Arabidopsis thaliana: one gene and its partner. The protein of the gene in region 1 interacts with the protein of each later gene in a pairwise test. Each region holds a gene or a part of one and is shown in the gene's direction. Other genes may lie near its edges.

Evidence for each region. The genes of interacting proteins can lie anywhere in the genome.
Region 2: the proteins of AT2G39630 (region 1) and ALB3 interact in a protein complementation assay, tested with the Arabidopsis thaliana proteins (one study listed by BioGRID).

Annotation. Positions count from the first base shown.
Region 1 is NC_003071.7:16,519,464-16,527,556, reverse strand, and holds AT2G39630 (Nucleotide-diphospho-sugar transferases superfamily protein), read left to right. Parts: upstream 1-2,773; 5' UTR 2,774-2,995; coding exon 2,996-3,108; intron 3,109-3,187; coding exon 3,188-3,236; intron 3,237-3,756; coding exon 3,757-3,863; intron 3,864-4,019; coding exon 4,020-4,065; intron 4,066-4,354; coding exon 4,355-4,489; intron 4,490-4,617; coding exon 4,618-4,707; intron 4,708-4,788; coding exon 4,789-4,920; coding exon of another isoform or gene 4,921-4,947; exon of another isoform or gene 4,948-5,021; coding exon of another isoform or gene 5,022-5,035; coding exon 5,036-5,119; intron 5,120-5,212; coding exon 5,213-5,277; intron 5,278-5,359; coding exon 5,360-5,549; 3' UTR 5,550-5,813; downstream 5,814-8,093. Other genes in the region: AT2G39640 (glycosyl hydrolase family 17 protein), read left to right, coding at 545-1,009, 1,202-2,386; AT2G39620 (Pentatricopeptide repeat (PPR) superfamily protein), read left to right, coding at 6,079-8,093.
Region 2 is NC_003071.7:12,354,763-12,363,319, reverse strand, and holds ALB3 (63 kDa inner membrane family protein), read left to right. Parts: upstream 1-3,751; 5' UTR 3,752-4,161; coding exon 4,162-4,536; intron 4,537-4,624; coding exon 4,625-4,735; intron 4,736-4,845; coding exon 4,846-4,920; intron 4,921-4,997; coding exon 4,998-5,058; intron 5,059-5,142; coding exon 5,143-5,216; intron 5,217-5,317; coding exon 5,318-5,422; intron 5,423-5,563; coding exon 5,564-5,671; intron 5,672-5,763; coding exon 5,764-5,867; coding exon of another isoform or gene 5,868-5,901; exon of another isoform or gene 5,902-6,175; coding exon 6,176-6,325; intron 6,326-6,425; coding exon 6,426-6,651; 3' UTR 6,652-6,999; downstream 7,000-8,557. Other genes in the region: AT2G28790 (Pathogenesis-related thaumatin superfamily protein), read left to right, coding at 7,832-8,557. UniProt on the Arabidopsis thaliana protein: Required for the insertion of some light harvesting chlorophyll-binding proteins (LHCP) into the chloroplast thylakoid membrane.

The DNA of each region.
Region 1 (8,093 bases):
CAAGTTAAATCTGCCTTCTAAATTCTAAGATCTACGGTCATATCCAATCATCCACAATTTTGTATTCATCCAGAAATAAAAAGCCAATGATATATTTCTTTCTTTCTTTCAATAAATCCATGATGAACTAATAATAAATGTATTTGATGCATATGACATGTTATCCAAACTTATATTCCATTTTATTCTTAATTTAGTATATGATCTTCCCATTAAATTCCATTTTATTCTTAATTAGGTATAAGATCTTCCCATTAAATTCCATTTTATTCTTAATTAAGTATAAGATCTACCTCTCTTAGTGATGTAAACTTAATAAAATTGTGTACCATTTGTTGCCGCCCGGTTCTTCTATATTAGTTTATATTACATCAAATTTGATTACAATATAAAAGGCAACGTTCATGCTTATCATCTACATTAATTTCACTAGATTTTTAAAGAAAAATTGTAGAGACATGGAGAATCTACATTAGTAGTATAAATACACGCTTATTCTTAGCCTAGTCTTACTACACAAAACAAAACAAAACAAAACAAAGCAATGGCCAAAACGATTCGGTCTTTCATTCTCCCTTTCCTCCTCATAGTCGCCGGCGTGATCTTTCAACTCTCAGCCGTGACTTCCGCCATTGGTATCAACTATGGAACACTAGGGAACCTTCAACCTCCACAACAAGTGGTTGACTTCATCAAGACAAAGACCACTTTTGACAGTGTCAAGATCTATGATGCTAATCCCGACATCCTCCGAGCCTTCGCGGGCTCTGAAATCAACATCACCATCATGGTCCCTAACGGTAACATTCCTGCCATGGTCAACGTTGCAAATGCTCGTCAATGGGTCGCTGCCAATGTCTTACCGTTTCAGCAGCAGATCAAGTTCAAATACGTTTGTGTCGGAAACGAGATTCTTGCTAGTAACGACAATAACTTGATATCAAATCTTGTACCAGCGATGCAAAGTCTTAACGAAGCTTTAAAAGCTTCCAATCTCACTTATATCAAGGTTAGTTTCAAGTCATGATGATAAAAAAAAAAAAAAAAACTTGCGTTTACGAAAACACTAATACTAATACATGAATGTTTTTTTTTTTGTTTTTTTACATATGAATCATATTTCATAAATATTTTTTGAATACGTTGTTATTTGATACTACTATCAACAAAATGTAATTAATCCACCATTATTTGGCTTCAGGTGACAACTCCACATGCATTTACCATAAGCTATAACCGTAATACACCAAGTGAGAGCAGATTTACTAACGATCAAAAAGATATTTTTACAAAGATCTTGGAATTTCATCGTCAGGCTAAGTCCCCATTCATGATCAACGCCTACACTTTTTTCACGATGGACACGAACAATGTCAATTACGCAATATTTGGTCCATCAAATGCAATAACGGATACCAATACACAACAAACCTACACCAACATGTTTGACGCAGTCATGGATGCAACATATTCTGCTATGAAAGCTCTTGGCTATGGCGACGTAGATATCGCGGTAGGGGAGACCGGTTGGCCCACGGCTTGTGACGCTTCATGGTGCTCACCTCAAAACGCTGAAAACTACAACCTCAATATCATCAAGCGTGCACAAGTTATAGGGACACCTCTAATGCCCAACCGCCACATCGATATCTTCATATTTGCATTGTTCAATGAAGATGGAAAACCCGGTCCAACACGTGAGAGAAATTGGGGGATATTTAAACCGGATTTTTCACCGATGTATGATGTTGGAGTTCTAAAAGGCGGTGGAAGCCCGCTTCCGTTTCCACCGATAAACAACAATGGAAAATGGTGTGTGGGAAAACCAGAAGCGACGTTAATGCAACTACAAGCAAATATTGATTGGGTATGCAGCCATGGTATTGATTGTACACCAATCTCACCTGGTGGCATATGTTTTGACAACAACAACATGACGACTCGGTCCTCGTTTATTATGAACGCTTATTACCAAAGCAAGGGATGCGTTGATGTTGTCTGTGATTTTAGCGGTACTGGCATCGTTACCAGTACCAACCCAAGCACTAGCACATGCCCTATACCGATAGGGGAAGGTGGCGGCGGCAATGGCGCAAAAAGCAAAAGTGCAAATTGGTGTATGGCGAAACAAGAAGCGACAGAGACACAACTACAAGCTAATATTGATTGGGTGTGTAGCCAAGGTATTGATTGTAAACCAATATCACCTGGTGGCATATGTTTTGATAACAACAACATGAAGACTCGATCCACGTTCATAATGAACGCTTATTACGAGAGCAAAGGATACTCCAAAGACGCTTGTGACTTCCGTGGTAGTGGCATCGTCACTACTACCAACCCAAGCACTAGCACATGCGTCGTACCAGCATCAGTAACGCTCTGAATTTTTAAAAAGCAACTACAGAAACTGAAAAAAATCAATAAAACAAGATCCTTTTATTTCATTATAAGAACAATCATTTTTCGTTGTTTTTATGTTGTATCTTTAATTTTCATTATATTTTTCAAATATTTATGTAGACATGTACATGAAAAAGAAAAATTATATACATATGGTAAAATATCCAAATTATACTTTGTCATTTCCATCTATTCATTTTCTAGTTATTCATATATATAATCTGCCATTTCCAAATCATAATATTGATCAGTTTTATTCTTTAACATATTTTAATCCACATTTTTTTCTGTATATTGAAAATTGTTAATCAATAAAACTTTATTTTATTATAATTTGAGATTTTGTTCAACATTAACACTACCAAACGAACCGGAACCTAAATGGCTAAACCAAAAGTCAAACCGAAATGGCTATCTCAAATTGAGCTCTGCTGCATTTTAATCTGAAATTAGGGATTGAACCATCTTCACGGATCAATCATTAGACTTTAGCTTTTCTTGCTTATTCTTCACGGATTGGTTTCGATCTCTCCTTCTTCACTCTCTCTCTTTCTCGTGAAAGCAAAACAGATCTCAAATCTCGGGAGCAACAATGGAGTTTCTGGTAACAGTTGCGGAATTCAGCCTCTGGCTGCTGCTGATCGTCTTATTCGGATTTCTATCCGTTGTTGTTTTTGAAGCTTGGAGAAGGAGACACAGTAACGTGTACGTTTTACTCAATTTCTTCGAATTTGTTCCGATTTCTGAGGATAAGATTTGATTGATTTGTTTTGGATTTTCTCAGCTCTGTCGAGACCGTGACTACACTCGACGATCCGAAATCTATAAAACCGGTAACGTCTGATTGATTTATCGTATTAGTTTACAGTGATTTTCTGGCAATAGTGTGGCAAAGAACGATAGCGTTTTGAAAATCAGTTAATTATAGTTAATGGAACTGAGATTTTCTCGTTAAAAAGGTTTTGCGTTGGCGATTTGAACACTTGATTCTGTGTTTCGCTAAAACGAATGTTGAAGCTTCACGTAGTCTTTAAGAGGAACTGTTTCCATTAGTTTAGCTCTTTTTTTGTATCAAATGTTACATTTTGGTTTAGCAAAGAAGCTTGAGAAGTTATATTGTATAGTCGTGTGAAACTTGATAAGTAGTTTATGGAGTCTCTTCCAGATGCAGACTTTGGAAACTCTTAAGTTAGTGGCTTAGCTAGAAAAATTAAGTGTTCCATTATAATGTTGAATCCATACATAGATTGTCTTGTCAATTATAACGAGTTTGACTTGCTTGATCGCATTTTCTGGTGGTTGAGGAATCTGATTTTACTTTTCCTGACCCTGTTTTTCAAACTTTATTATCAGATTCCTTGCCCTCATATTACCGACCCTGCCGAGAAGTATTTGTCTTTAATAGTTCCAGCGTATAATGAAGAACTGAGACTTCCTGCTGCTCTTGAGGAAACAATGGAGTAAGTTAGACAACTTCCACTTATTCGAATCTCCCTTTTACTGGATTGTGTGTCTGCTTCCAATCGTGAGAAGTTTGCTTCTCTTGCGAAACAGCAGCACAAGTCTTATTTATGCATACTACAGAGGCATAATTGTAATTCGCCTCTGGTTTGCAGTTACCTTCAAGATCGTGCATCACGGGACAAGAGTTTTTCTTTTGAGGTAAATACTAAGTAGTTTTCCATACTAAGTAGTTCTCCTTACAACTGATTAAGGTGGATTCTTAACATAGATATGGCCTTTGTTATGGTGAATATGTATGAGCTTTTAAACGTTTTTTGTCCCTAAATTTGATTTACCTAACTCTATTAAAAAAAGGAGAGTAATGCTCACAACTTATTAATCTATCAATATAGACTGCCCACTCATGCTAAATTTCTCAATAAGTCGTTATTGTGTTCCTTAAACCCTATATGCATCAGTGGATTAAGTTTACCTTTTCTCCTTTTAGGTGGTGATTGTTGATGATGGAAGTGTTGATGGAACAAAAAGAGTAGCTTTTGATTTCATTAGAAAGTACACAATTGACAACATAAGGGTTATACCCCTTGGGAAGAATCAAGGCAAAGGAGAAGCTATAAGAAAAGTGAGTTCAACTCGTAGCGCATGCAATTCTATATATTTATTTTATGTGATTGAGTAAGACTGTAAATTTGTCATTTCATAGTACAAAAAAATAATCGAAGCTTTCTACTTTTTGAAAGCATTGAATAGGGAATGTTGCATTCGCGGGGTCAGCTACTTCTCATGTTGGATGCTGATGGAGCAACTAAAGTAACGGACCTAGAAAAACTTGAAAATCAGGTTTGCCCTTAGTTTTGACTGTTAAAACTTCAGAGAAACTAGAAATTGTGCTATAAATTTCCTGATCTCCTAGCCTCTCAGATCAATGCAGTAGCCAGAGAAGAATATTCAATCAGAAATCCAGCATCTAAGGATATGGATTTCAAAATAGGTGATGTTCAAGTATCCGCATTTGGTTCTCGTGCTCATCTCGAGGAGAAAGCTCTTGCTACAGTTAAGTCTTGCAAACTTCTGTTCTAGACAACATCATTCTTTGTCTATGTACACACACAGATGCATATACTTATTACGCATCTTAGATAATTGACTTTTAGTCTTTCAATTTCAGAGGAAATGGTATCGCAACTTTCTGATGAAGGGTTTCCATCTTGTGGTTCTATTAGCTGCTGGTCCTGGTATTCGGGATACACAGGTGGCTTTTTAAATCTCATTCGTTGTTTCCTTCTACACTCTCTGTTTCACCAATCTTGAATAGTAATAACTAAACATCATTTTTTTTAATCAGTGTGGCTTCAAGATGTTTACTAGGGCTGCTGCTAGGAGACTTTTCACAAACGTCCATCTGAAAAGGTATATGAGTAAATGAATCGATGATGATAAACTAGCAGTAAAAACATCAATAAGAGTCTCATCTGACTCGGTCTATGCGCAGGTGGTGCTTTGATGTTGAATTGGTGTACTTGTGCAAGCGTTTTAATATACCAATGGTTGAAATCTCTGTGAAATGGTCCGAAATTCCCGGGTCTAAAGTCAGTATGTTGAGCATTCCAAACATGCTTTGGGAGCTTGCTTTAATGTCTGTGGGATACAGAACTGGCATGTGGAAGATCCATCAAGTATGAGACACATAGACAACAACATACATAGAGCATTTCCTCTTGGGAATAACAACTCGTCCACGCTGGTTTTCTGCAGAGAGGATATAGTTTTGATGTCTCTGAATTTCTGGTCAAGCTCAAGGAAAGCTAAGGCGATAGAAAATATGTCGGTCTTTGTTTCAATAGATGTGATAAAAATCTTACCGGATTATAAATGATGAAATGAAACTACTACAGCTCTAGATTTTTTTTTTTTTGGTTTTAGTTTAAACTACTCAAACTTTGTTCAAAAAAAAAAAAAAAAAAAAAGTTTAAACTACTCAAACATTCCAATGACAGTGCTCTACTTTGAGTTTTACATCTTCATGGCATGAACTAAAGATTAAAGTCTTAATCTTAGGAACTGATTGATCCTCTTATAAACTAAATCGCTCTAATTAAATGACTTCAATTTTATAATTTATATATTACAGAAAATTTTGAAGCTTTCAAATTTAACGGTTTTTCCTATAAACCGCCAAAAAACTGCAAATGCATCCTCGTCGCCGGTGAAATGCCAATTAACTACACTAACCTCCTCCTTATGCTCCGGGAATGTAAGAACTTCCGGTGTCTTCTTCAAGTTCACGGCAGCTTGATAGTCTCAGGTCTTAAACCTCATAACCAGCTCATAAACGCTTATTCTCTCTTTCAAAGACAGGACCTTTCTCGCGTCATCTTTGATTCAGTTCGAGATCCAGGTGTTGTCTTGTGGAATTCAATGATCAGAGGATACACGAGAGCCGGTTTGCACAGAGAAGCTCTCGGATTCTTCGGGTATATGTCGGAGGAGAAAGGTATTGATCCAGACAAGTACAGTTTCACTTTTGCTTTGAAGGCTTGTGCCGGATCTATGGACTTTAAGAAGGGTTTACGGATACATGATTTGATTGCTGAGATGGGTCTTGAGTCTGATGTTTATATAGGAACTGCGTTAGTTGAAATGTATTGTAAAGCTCGTGACTTGGTTTCTGCAAGACAAGTGTTCGATAAAATGCATGTGAAGGATGTTGTTACTTGGAACACTATGGTTTCCGGGTTGGCTCAAAATGGATGTTCTAGTGCAGCTTTGCTGTTGTTTCATGATATGCGTTCGTGTTGTGTTGACATTGATCATGTTAGTTTATATAATCTGATCCCTGCGGTTTCGAAGCTAGAGAAGAGTGATGTCTGTAGATGTCTTCACGGACTTGTGATTAAGAAAGGTTTTATCTTTGCTTTCTCTAGTGGGCTGATTGACATGTATTGCAACTGCGCGGATTTATATGCTGCTGAATCTGTTTTTGAAGAAGTGTGGAGGAAGGATGAGTCTTCATGGGGTACAATGATGGCAGCTTATGCACATAATGGGTTCTTTGAGGAGGTATTGGAGTTGTTTGACCTTATGAGAAACTATGATGTTAGAATGAATAAGGTAGCTGCAGCAAGTGCTCTTCAAGCTGCTGCATATGTAGGGGATTTAGTGAAGGGGATTGCAATTCATGATTACGCAGTGCAACAAGGATTGATCGGTGATGTCTCAGTTGCTACTTCTCTTATGAGTATGTATTCCAAATGTGGTGAGTTGGAGATAGCCGAACAACTGTTCATTAATATTGAAGATAGAGATGTTGTTTCTTGGTCTGCCATGATTGCGTCGTATGAGCAAGCAGGGCAACACGATGAGGCTATCTCTTTGTTTAGAGATATGATGAGAATACATATCAAGCCTAATGCTGTAACTTTGACTAGTGTGCTACAAGGGTGTGCAGGAGTAGCCGCCTCTAGATTGGGTAAGAGCATACATTGTTATGCTATAAAGGCTGATATTGAGTCTGAGTTGGAAACTGCCACAGCTGTTATTTCAATGTACGCTAAATGTGGTCGATTTTCTCCCGCGCTCAAAGCCTTTGAAAGACTGCCAATTAAAGATGCTGTGGCATTCAACGCTCTAGCGCAAGGGTATACTCAGATTGGTGATGCCAATAAAGCATTTGATGTGTACAAGAACATGAAGTTACATGGTGTATGCCCAGACTCAAGAACTATGGTTGGTATGCTTCAAACTTGTGCCTTCTGTAGTGACTATGCTCGAGGTTCTTGTGTTTATGGACAAATTATAAAGCATGGGTTCGATTCAGAATGTCACGTGGCACATGCTCTTATCAATATGTTCACCAAATGTGATGCCCTCGCTGCAGCGATAGTTTTGTTTGACAAGTGTGGATTCGAGAAAAGTACTGTATCTTGGAATATAATGATGAACGGGTACTTACTCCATGGCCAGGCTGAAGAAGCTGTTGCCACTTTTCGTCAGATGAAGGTTGAGAAATTTCAGCCAAATGCAGTCACTTTTGTTAACATAGTACGCGCAGCAGCAGAATTATCAGCCTTGAGAGTAGGAATGTCGGTTCATTCCAGTCTCATTCAGTGTGGATTTTGTTCCCAAACACCAGTAGGAAACAGCCTTGTTGACATGTATGCGAAATGTGGAATGATAGAATCTTCCGAGAAATGCTTTATTGAGATAAGCAACAAATACATAGTTTC
Region 2 (8,557 bases), 4.2 Mb from region 1:
GGTTTGAGTGGAGGGACGTTTCTTCGCCTATAAGGTTCCCTCTGTCGAATAATATCTATAATATATGATTTTTGTTAGAAAATACCACATATGTATACATATGATTTACAAGGTCTAAGTATGAAGAAATAAGAGGGACCTAGATGAATAGATAATTGAAGACATTAATTCTAAGTGACAACCAAAAGAGTCAAAGACCTTGATTTGCTTTAAGCAATGTGTTTATTAATAAAATACTATTTTAGCTTTATCTTTACCATTAAGTAAAACAAGTTTGTGAACATTTCAGAATTGGTTTAGTGATAAGAGGGACTTTCGAAAAAGTTGTGCAATCAAACAAATTTAACTCTTTCTTTCTTTCTTTTTTTCTCACAAATGAAAATCATATCTTTGGTCATTCTAGTCATTAGATCTAGCTATAGTCGTGCTTTCTGGTTCAGCAATTTTTATGTTGGGAATCTTGTTATTTTGAAATTGTAAAATGCTGAACTAAATAGTATGACTTTTTATCAGTAACTATATATTTTTAATATTATATCGCACTTTTCTGTTTTGGTTACACTTACATTTTTGTGTCAGTCAGAATTTTAAATTGACAAAACTATGTTAAAAGATTTTTTTTTCAGTAAACAGAATAAAGGCATTTTTATAAAAAGTAATGGATGAGCCTTATAAACTAAAATAAAAATAATATTACTAGATTTTCAGGCTATCATTTCATATATTTGTATGCTATTTGCTAACCATGCCAATATTTAAAACGCCAAGGTCCATTGCTAACTTAACTTTTGGTTAATTTGTCATAATTATCATTTTTATTTGCATTTATTATTGGAAATATATATGTACGTTGATGGCTAAGTATAAATTAACTTTGCTTAATAGGGTTCATTATCATATAGATCCGTAATCATGAAAGCTTAATTAGGGTATCTTTGTGGGTCAAGACTCAAGAGTAGGCTTGTCCCTGATCTGTCGTTTTCGTCTTCGTTCATTAGATATCTTCATGGCGATGGTTTTATCTCTTATATGAATCTTTTTTGAATATATTAATTATCTTGTTGATTGCAAACATATATAAGCTTGTAATCTTGCAATAAAACAAATGAAAGGGGTGAACCAAATTCACAATAAAACAACCATTGATTGTCTACTATTAACTATTCAATGAAATATAAATGTTCTACGTCATCATTAAAAAACTATGATACTAATCTCGTTTCCTATTGATATTAATATTTCAATATATAAGAACAATAACTCTAACAAGAATAATGACTGAATCTTAGTATGAAAATAACTTTACTCGGTATCAAACGACGTAAAGAAAGGGAAAAAAAAGCATGAAAAAGATGAAACCTGTCATTTACAACTTCTATTTTATGTCTACTTTTATTTTTATTTTCAAAAGAAGAACAAAGAAGAGATCTTTCAAATTGTCTCTACATTTTATCTTCTCTTTTACTTTTCCCTAACGATTTTGTTGTATGTAGTATATATCTTTAATAATCAGTCGTTTCGTATATAAATGCGAACATCTTTTTCAGAAAGAGATTGCCTAAAATGGCGTATATGTTGTATTATTACCCTAAAAACAAATAATCTTTAACGTTAGTTGATCATGCATGAAATCATCAGCAAACCTTTTCATAATCCCACTCATCTCTTTTGTGCTCTTGTCCTTCTCCATTTTGTTGTTATCTTCTCTCTTTTTTTCTTCATTTTGACCATATATCATTTCTCAATAATTTTTCGAATTTATCATGAAAAACGTAGAACTTCTACATGTCAAAAGCTTAGATACACTGAAACCATGTATTTTAGTGGTTTATGCTACAATCGTGTCTATGTGTTACTATTATTAATAAAATTTATATAATGCATATTGTTAAACAAAAAGTTGACGAAATTATGACAGAAAAAAATGACGAAACAATTTCTTTTAACTCTTTATCCACAAATATCTGATTTTTTTTTTTTTTTTTTTTTTTTTTTTTTTTTTTTTTACTAGGGAAGCAATGAATTGCTCTTTTTTTCTCTCCTGGTGTCAATGCTTCAATTATGAACGTTAACTAATTTATTGCTTTATGAGCTTCTTTCTCGTCCAAACATTCTTAAAAACAATAGTGAAAGTCTCGATTACGAATTCAATATGACTACGTTCAATTTCATATATCGCTTTCCATTCTAATTTTTTAAGATTTGGCATAGGTGTACTAATCATTTGCTTCATCTGCCGAACAAATTTTCATAATTACTTTTTTAAAGAACGCATATGCGGTTATAATTTGTACCACTCTTAACTTTGCATATGAATTTACTTAATTACTTATGCACCCATTAATCAATGGAAGCCCGAGGTAATATGCAACCTGATTAAAAAATATTACGTTATTATTCTGATGGTCCGTACATACAAATATTACTTTTTATAATTTTCCTATGTATCCTTTGTATATGAATTGAAAAGCATTTTAGAGAAATAATTTCTATTTAGTAACAAATTAATGAGTTATTACCCATAAATTATTCTTACGTCTCCATCAAAAAGTGAGTTTAGCCTTGAAAGTTCTGTGTCGACGTCGTTATGTTATAAAACAATAAATACGAACTCTTAATCGTTCGTTGTCATATAAAATTAAGAAAAAAATACAACATCATCATTTTTTTTATTTTTTTTGTCAAACTTACAACATCATCATTTCTATCAAAAATTTATGTTAAAAAACAAATTATGAAATAAATAATTATTTCACAACGAAAAATAATAATAACAAATATAATTATTTTCAAAACAACTTTAAATTTAATTTCTATATATAGTATTTGGTATAGGTCTATATATGATCGTGACGTGTGAAATATAATTGAGGAACGGTGGATGATTCTTGAAAACAATGTGGAAGATATTTAATTCAGTATGATGCTTAAAAAAACTCATAACGTTAGCTATGTTTTGTTGAATATTACATCACATAAACGTATGGGTGTGCACTTAGAGCGAGCCGGTGATTATAGGTTTGTTTTTTTTGGTAAAAAATTATTGAGAGATTATTGATTATAGGTTTTGAAGCTATCGATCTGAGCTAGAGATTAAGGAACGAATCCCTCTATGAACATTTAAACCTTGTTCTTTTTGCTTATTAACTGAGAGATTAGGATCCTAAAATCTATACAACACTAGAGATCATTATCCAAAAGATTTTACTTAGTCCCATTTGCGGTCACATTTAATTCCCTAAAAGCATGAAAATTCTATCCCATTTGTTTTTTCCACTAGACTTGGGACTCAAAGCGTAATTTATAACTATCTTACGTTAGAGAGCATTATTTACGACCATTATTTAGGCTGAACTCATTATAGACATCGATCAAGCTCTAGTGTTAAATACATTTTCTTTGTGGGATTAATCTTTAAAGGCCTTGTAATCACTTACTATTTCGTAAGTTATGAAGATTTGGGAACCGGATTATGGCTTTGGGAAGTTAAGTCCTATGACTCAAGCTTACCTTTTTAGGGTTGTGTATAGGTTCTCGATAAATGTTTCAGATTAGTTCATTTGTTTTTTTGTTTATAAAAACTACATAATATAAAACGTGGAAAGAAAGTGATAATGACAAGAAATAAAAGTAAGAAAGGTGGTGGTGTGAGAATCAGATTCGATGTCAACTAATTGAAAGAGAGTACGCAGCTTTTTCTTCACAATTATATATATTTTGTGGAAAAGCTTACCATACATTCACAAAGCATTCGAGATTTGATTTTTATAGAAAAGTATTTACATAAAGTATTTTCTAAATCGGTTTCTATTTTGTATGCTTTCAGTTTTATTTTGTGTTGGGGAAGTGATCCATGCATTGAGCTTGGAGATTGATGGATTGGTAATTAAGCCTATTAAGTTAAGCAGGCCTGTTTCTAAAATGGGCCCTAATAAGCCCAAACTACAAAAAGCACCGATATATCCCACGTTAGATACATGTCCACGTGGACTCCTATGACTGGATGTAATCTCCACCACGCGCGATCACCAGCTTCGTCTCTCATTTTCATTTTCCAATTTATTTTCAAAAAAAGATAAATCCAGAAAAAAATTTACAAAATAAAAAAATAAAAATCTCTATCTTCTTCTTCGTCTCTTCTCATCCTCCTCTCAAGCTCCAATGGCGAGAGTTCTAGTCTCGTCTCCATCTTCATTCTTCGGTTCACCGTTGATTAAACCGTCGTCATCTCTCCGTCACAGTGGAGTAGGAGGAGGAGGAACCGCTCAATTTCTTCCATACCGGAGTAATAATAACAAACTCTTCACTACTTCAACCACCGTACGATTCAGCTTAAACGAGATTCCTCCTTTCCATGGCTTGGATTCATCTGTAGACATCGGAGCGATTTTCACCAGAGCTGAATCTCTTCTCTATACAATAGCTGACGCCGCCGTTGTTGGTGCTGATTCCGTCGTAACTACTGATTCATCCGCCGTGCAGAAGAGTGGTGGTTGGTTTGGTTTTATCTCCGATGCTATGGAATTGGTTCTTAAGGTGAGTTTTAAGCTGCTAATTTCGATCTCTGTGTGTAGAATTCTGGAAATTGTATTTGTAGCTTAAGTTTTTTGGTTTGGATTTTTAGATTTTGAAGGATGGATTATCAGCGGTTCATGTACCTTATGCTTATGGATTTGCGATTATCTTGCTTACGATTATCGTCAAAGCAGCGACGTATCCTTTGACTAAGCAACAGGTTAGTGAGTGTGATTAGTTGAATTTTGCAGCTCCTCTTGTCACTTTGATTCAATTTTGGCATGTTGGTTGAGAATTTTTGAGCATTGCTTTTGTTTTGGAATCCTTTAGGTTGAATCAACACTAGCGATGCAAAATCTTCAACCGAAAATCAAAGCGATTCAACAACGTTACGCAGGAAATCAGGTGAGTTTCTTTGGATAGAGAATGAGTTACTTGTGGATGACGAGTCTGATTTGTTTGTTCTGTTTTTGGATATATAGGAGAGGATACAACTAGAGACATCGCGATTGTATAAACAAGCTGGTGTTAATCCGTTGGCAGGTACTTTCTTTTAGAAGTTACGAGTTTTGTATTCCCTTCCTGAATTGTGGTGACATATGCACATTATTGTTTTTTTTATGTTAGGTTGCTTACCAACTTTAGCAACCATACCAGTTTGGATTGGTTTATACCAAGCTCTCTCTAACGTGGCCAACGAGGTACATATACCTTATGTCTCTTTCAACTACTGATTTCGCTAGAGACCGGATAAGTTTGTCTCTTTCAACTACTAATTGTTCTAAAAACTTTTTTTTTGTAGGGATTGTTTACAGAAGGTTTCTTTTGGATTCCATCTCTGGGTGGACCAACATCTATAGCTGCTCGGCAGAGTGGATCCGGCATTTCGTGGCTTTTTCCGTTTGTGGTAATGGAAGAAAAAAACTTTATGTGAATACGTTTTCTCATTTGATACTTATCTTTATACTAAAAAATTTCATACAACTGAGTCTTTTGCTGTGCAATGAACCTTTATCAAATTGGTGTCTAATATCGTTCGGTGGTGCAGGACGGGCATCCACCATTGGGATGGTATGACACTGTAGCTTATCTTGTTCTACCTGTTCTACTTATTGCCTCCCAGTATGTGTCAATGGAAATTATGAAGCCTCCTCAAGTGAGAAATAAACACAAGTTTCTTTTATTTTTCCTGTTACTTAAACAATTTGATATGATTGTTCTGAAACCGAATTTAATTTCTTTTGTCAGACTGATGATCCTGCACAGAAGAATACGCTTCTTGTTTTCAAGTTTCTTCCACTCATGATCGGTTACTTTGCATTGTCTGTCCCATCAGGACTATCTATTTACTGGTTGGTTTCCCTCTCCTTGAAACTTCTCATCTAACTGTTTTATCCATGCCCTTGATCTACTCATTAAATGGAGTATAAGAAAGATTTTCTCTAGTAATTAACCTAGATGGCTTCATTCTCAAAATGTACGTAAGACGGGTTAGAATTTCGAGGAATACGAAGCTTGTTTGATAAGGAATCATCTAGTGTGACTACATTTTGTAACATCAATATTATTGTATATGACTGTGTTTATTGGTAGGATCTGAGTTTTATTTTTTCCCTTTTTATTATGCTACTGCTTATGTTAAACCATCCTATGGTTTTAGGCTCACAAATAATGTACTTAGTACCGCCCAACAAGTATATCTGCGTAAACTAGGTGGTGCAAAGCCAAATATGGATGAAAACGCAAGCAAAATAATAAGTGCGGGACGAGCAAAGAGATCTATTGCTCAGCCTGACGATGCTGGCGAAAGGTAAGTGAATCCCGAGTCTAGTGGAGATTATATCTCTCAATACGAAGCGTTTTTCTTACAAGTTTGTTATTTCTGATAAATGTATATTGGATCACAACAGATTTAGACAATTAAAAGAGCAAGAGAAGCGCAGCAAGAAGAACAAGGCGGTTGCGAAAGATACAGTTGAATTGGTAGAAGAATCTCAGTCTGAATCAGAAGAAGGGTCTGATGATGAGGAAGAAGAGGCTCGTGAAGGAGCGTTAGCTTCGAGCACAACAAGCAAGCCGCTTCCTGAGGTTGGCCAACGAAGAAGCAAAAGATCGAAGCGGAAACGCACTGTATAGAACCAAAGCAAACGAAATTGCAAGTAAGGAAGAGAAAAGAGAGAGATTTGAATCTTGTTCCTTAGTTTGATCTTTTGATATATATTTGCATACACCATGTCCGGTAATTATCTAATATTAGGGCACAAAAAGGTCATTCTAAAGTTAAAAGCAGTAGTTGATCAAAGTAAATTGTTTATGTGATTCATCTTATTATAAATGTATTAACGTAAATGTGTGTACTATTATGACTTTTCAACATGCCCGCTTCAGTTTTGTTAGCATTTCGTTGTTGTAAACTTGCAATCTATTTGTTTGGTGCTTTTATTAGCTTTGTCAGCTTATAAAAATGGTAAATGTGAATCAAGTAGTATAGTAATTTGTGCAATAAACGAGACAACGATTCCCCATGAATAAACAACAATTACTTCCTGACAAAGAAGCATTGTTCTTTGGATTGGCATGGATAAAATAGAGAGAGGTAAAAATATTACGATTTGGATTGGGCTGAGGCCCAAGATATGGTTACACGATTTTCAAATTCTCGAAGTTGTACAAGTAGACAAAAGACATCTTGTTTTGTCGTGTTGTCGTTTGGTGTTTGTCGTTTTGATGTGTTTGTCAAAGAACCCTGTTACTAATCTGAACGAATATAACTTGTCAGTGTAGCCACATTACACTAATATTCAGAGAAAGTTGTCATGTTGTTACAATCATGAGTCACATAGCATGTAATAGAGTGTACATTTCAATAGGTTTAGAAGTTTAGAACACATAAATCAATCGGTCCATCTAAAATGTTTGCATTATGGTTTACTCATTGTAACTTGTAAACATTACATATGTGAATGCTTACTATCCTAGAAAAGCAAAACTGTTGGAAACAGCTAAAAATTAATATATCTGCCTAATATTTTCAGAATATGTTATTTTTCAACCATCCGAAATAGTGCTATTTACCAAAAACACACATTAGGATTAGTTTACCAATGAAGGAAACAAAGCTTCGTTAGTCACAAACCACATGCCATCATTTTATTCTTTAAAGAGCTTTCAAGCTTTTGACTCATAGAAATAGAATCCAATATTCATCTCTTTTAAACTGACATTAAAGCCCTTCGCCTCCTTAAACCCACATGCTAAATTCATTGCCTAACCACCCAAAACATCCAAAGGGTATTTTCGTCACTCCAAAAAATGTATGCATATCGAAAAATACTTTAGCTTATATACACACACGTCGCATTGGCACACCTTTCACACCAAAAGCTACACAATGGCTAAAACCTCTCTTCCTCTCGCCGCCTCCTTCCTCCTCCTCATCTCCTTCTCCTCCGCCGTAGACACTTCCCGTCTCTTCCTCACCGTCGTCAACAACTGTCCCTTCACTGTCTGGCCAGCCATTCAACCCAACGCCGGCCACCCCGTCCTAGAGAAAGGTGGCTTCGCTCTCCCAACTTTCACTCACCGCTCCTTCAACGTTCCAACCACACACTGGTCCGGTCGCATCTGGGCCAGAACCTGGTGTGCCCACTACAACGGAAAATTCTCCTGCCTCACCGGAGACTGCGGAAACCGCCTGGAATGCAACGGTCTCGGCGGGGCACCACCAGCTTCTCTAGCTCAGTTCGACCTCCACCACGGTGGTCACCACGACTTCTCCTCTTACGGTGTCTCTCTCGTTGACGGTTACAATGTTCCGATGACCGTGACTCCTCACGAAGGCCATGGTGTCTGTCCTGTCGTTGGTTGTCGTGAAGATCTAATAAAAACGTGTCCGGCTCATCTTCAGGTCCGGTCACACAGTGGACACGTGGTGGCTTGTAAGAGTGGGTGTGAGGCTTTCCATACAGACGAGCTGTGTTGTCGTGGTCATTACAATAGCCCTAACACGTGTAAAGCTTCGAGCCATTCGCTGTTCTTTAAG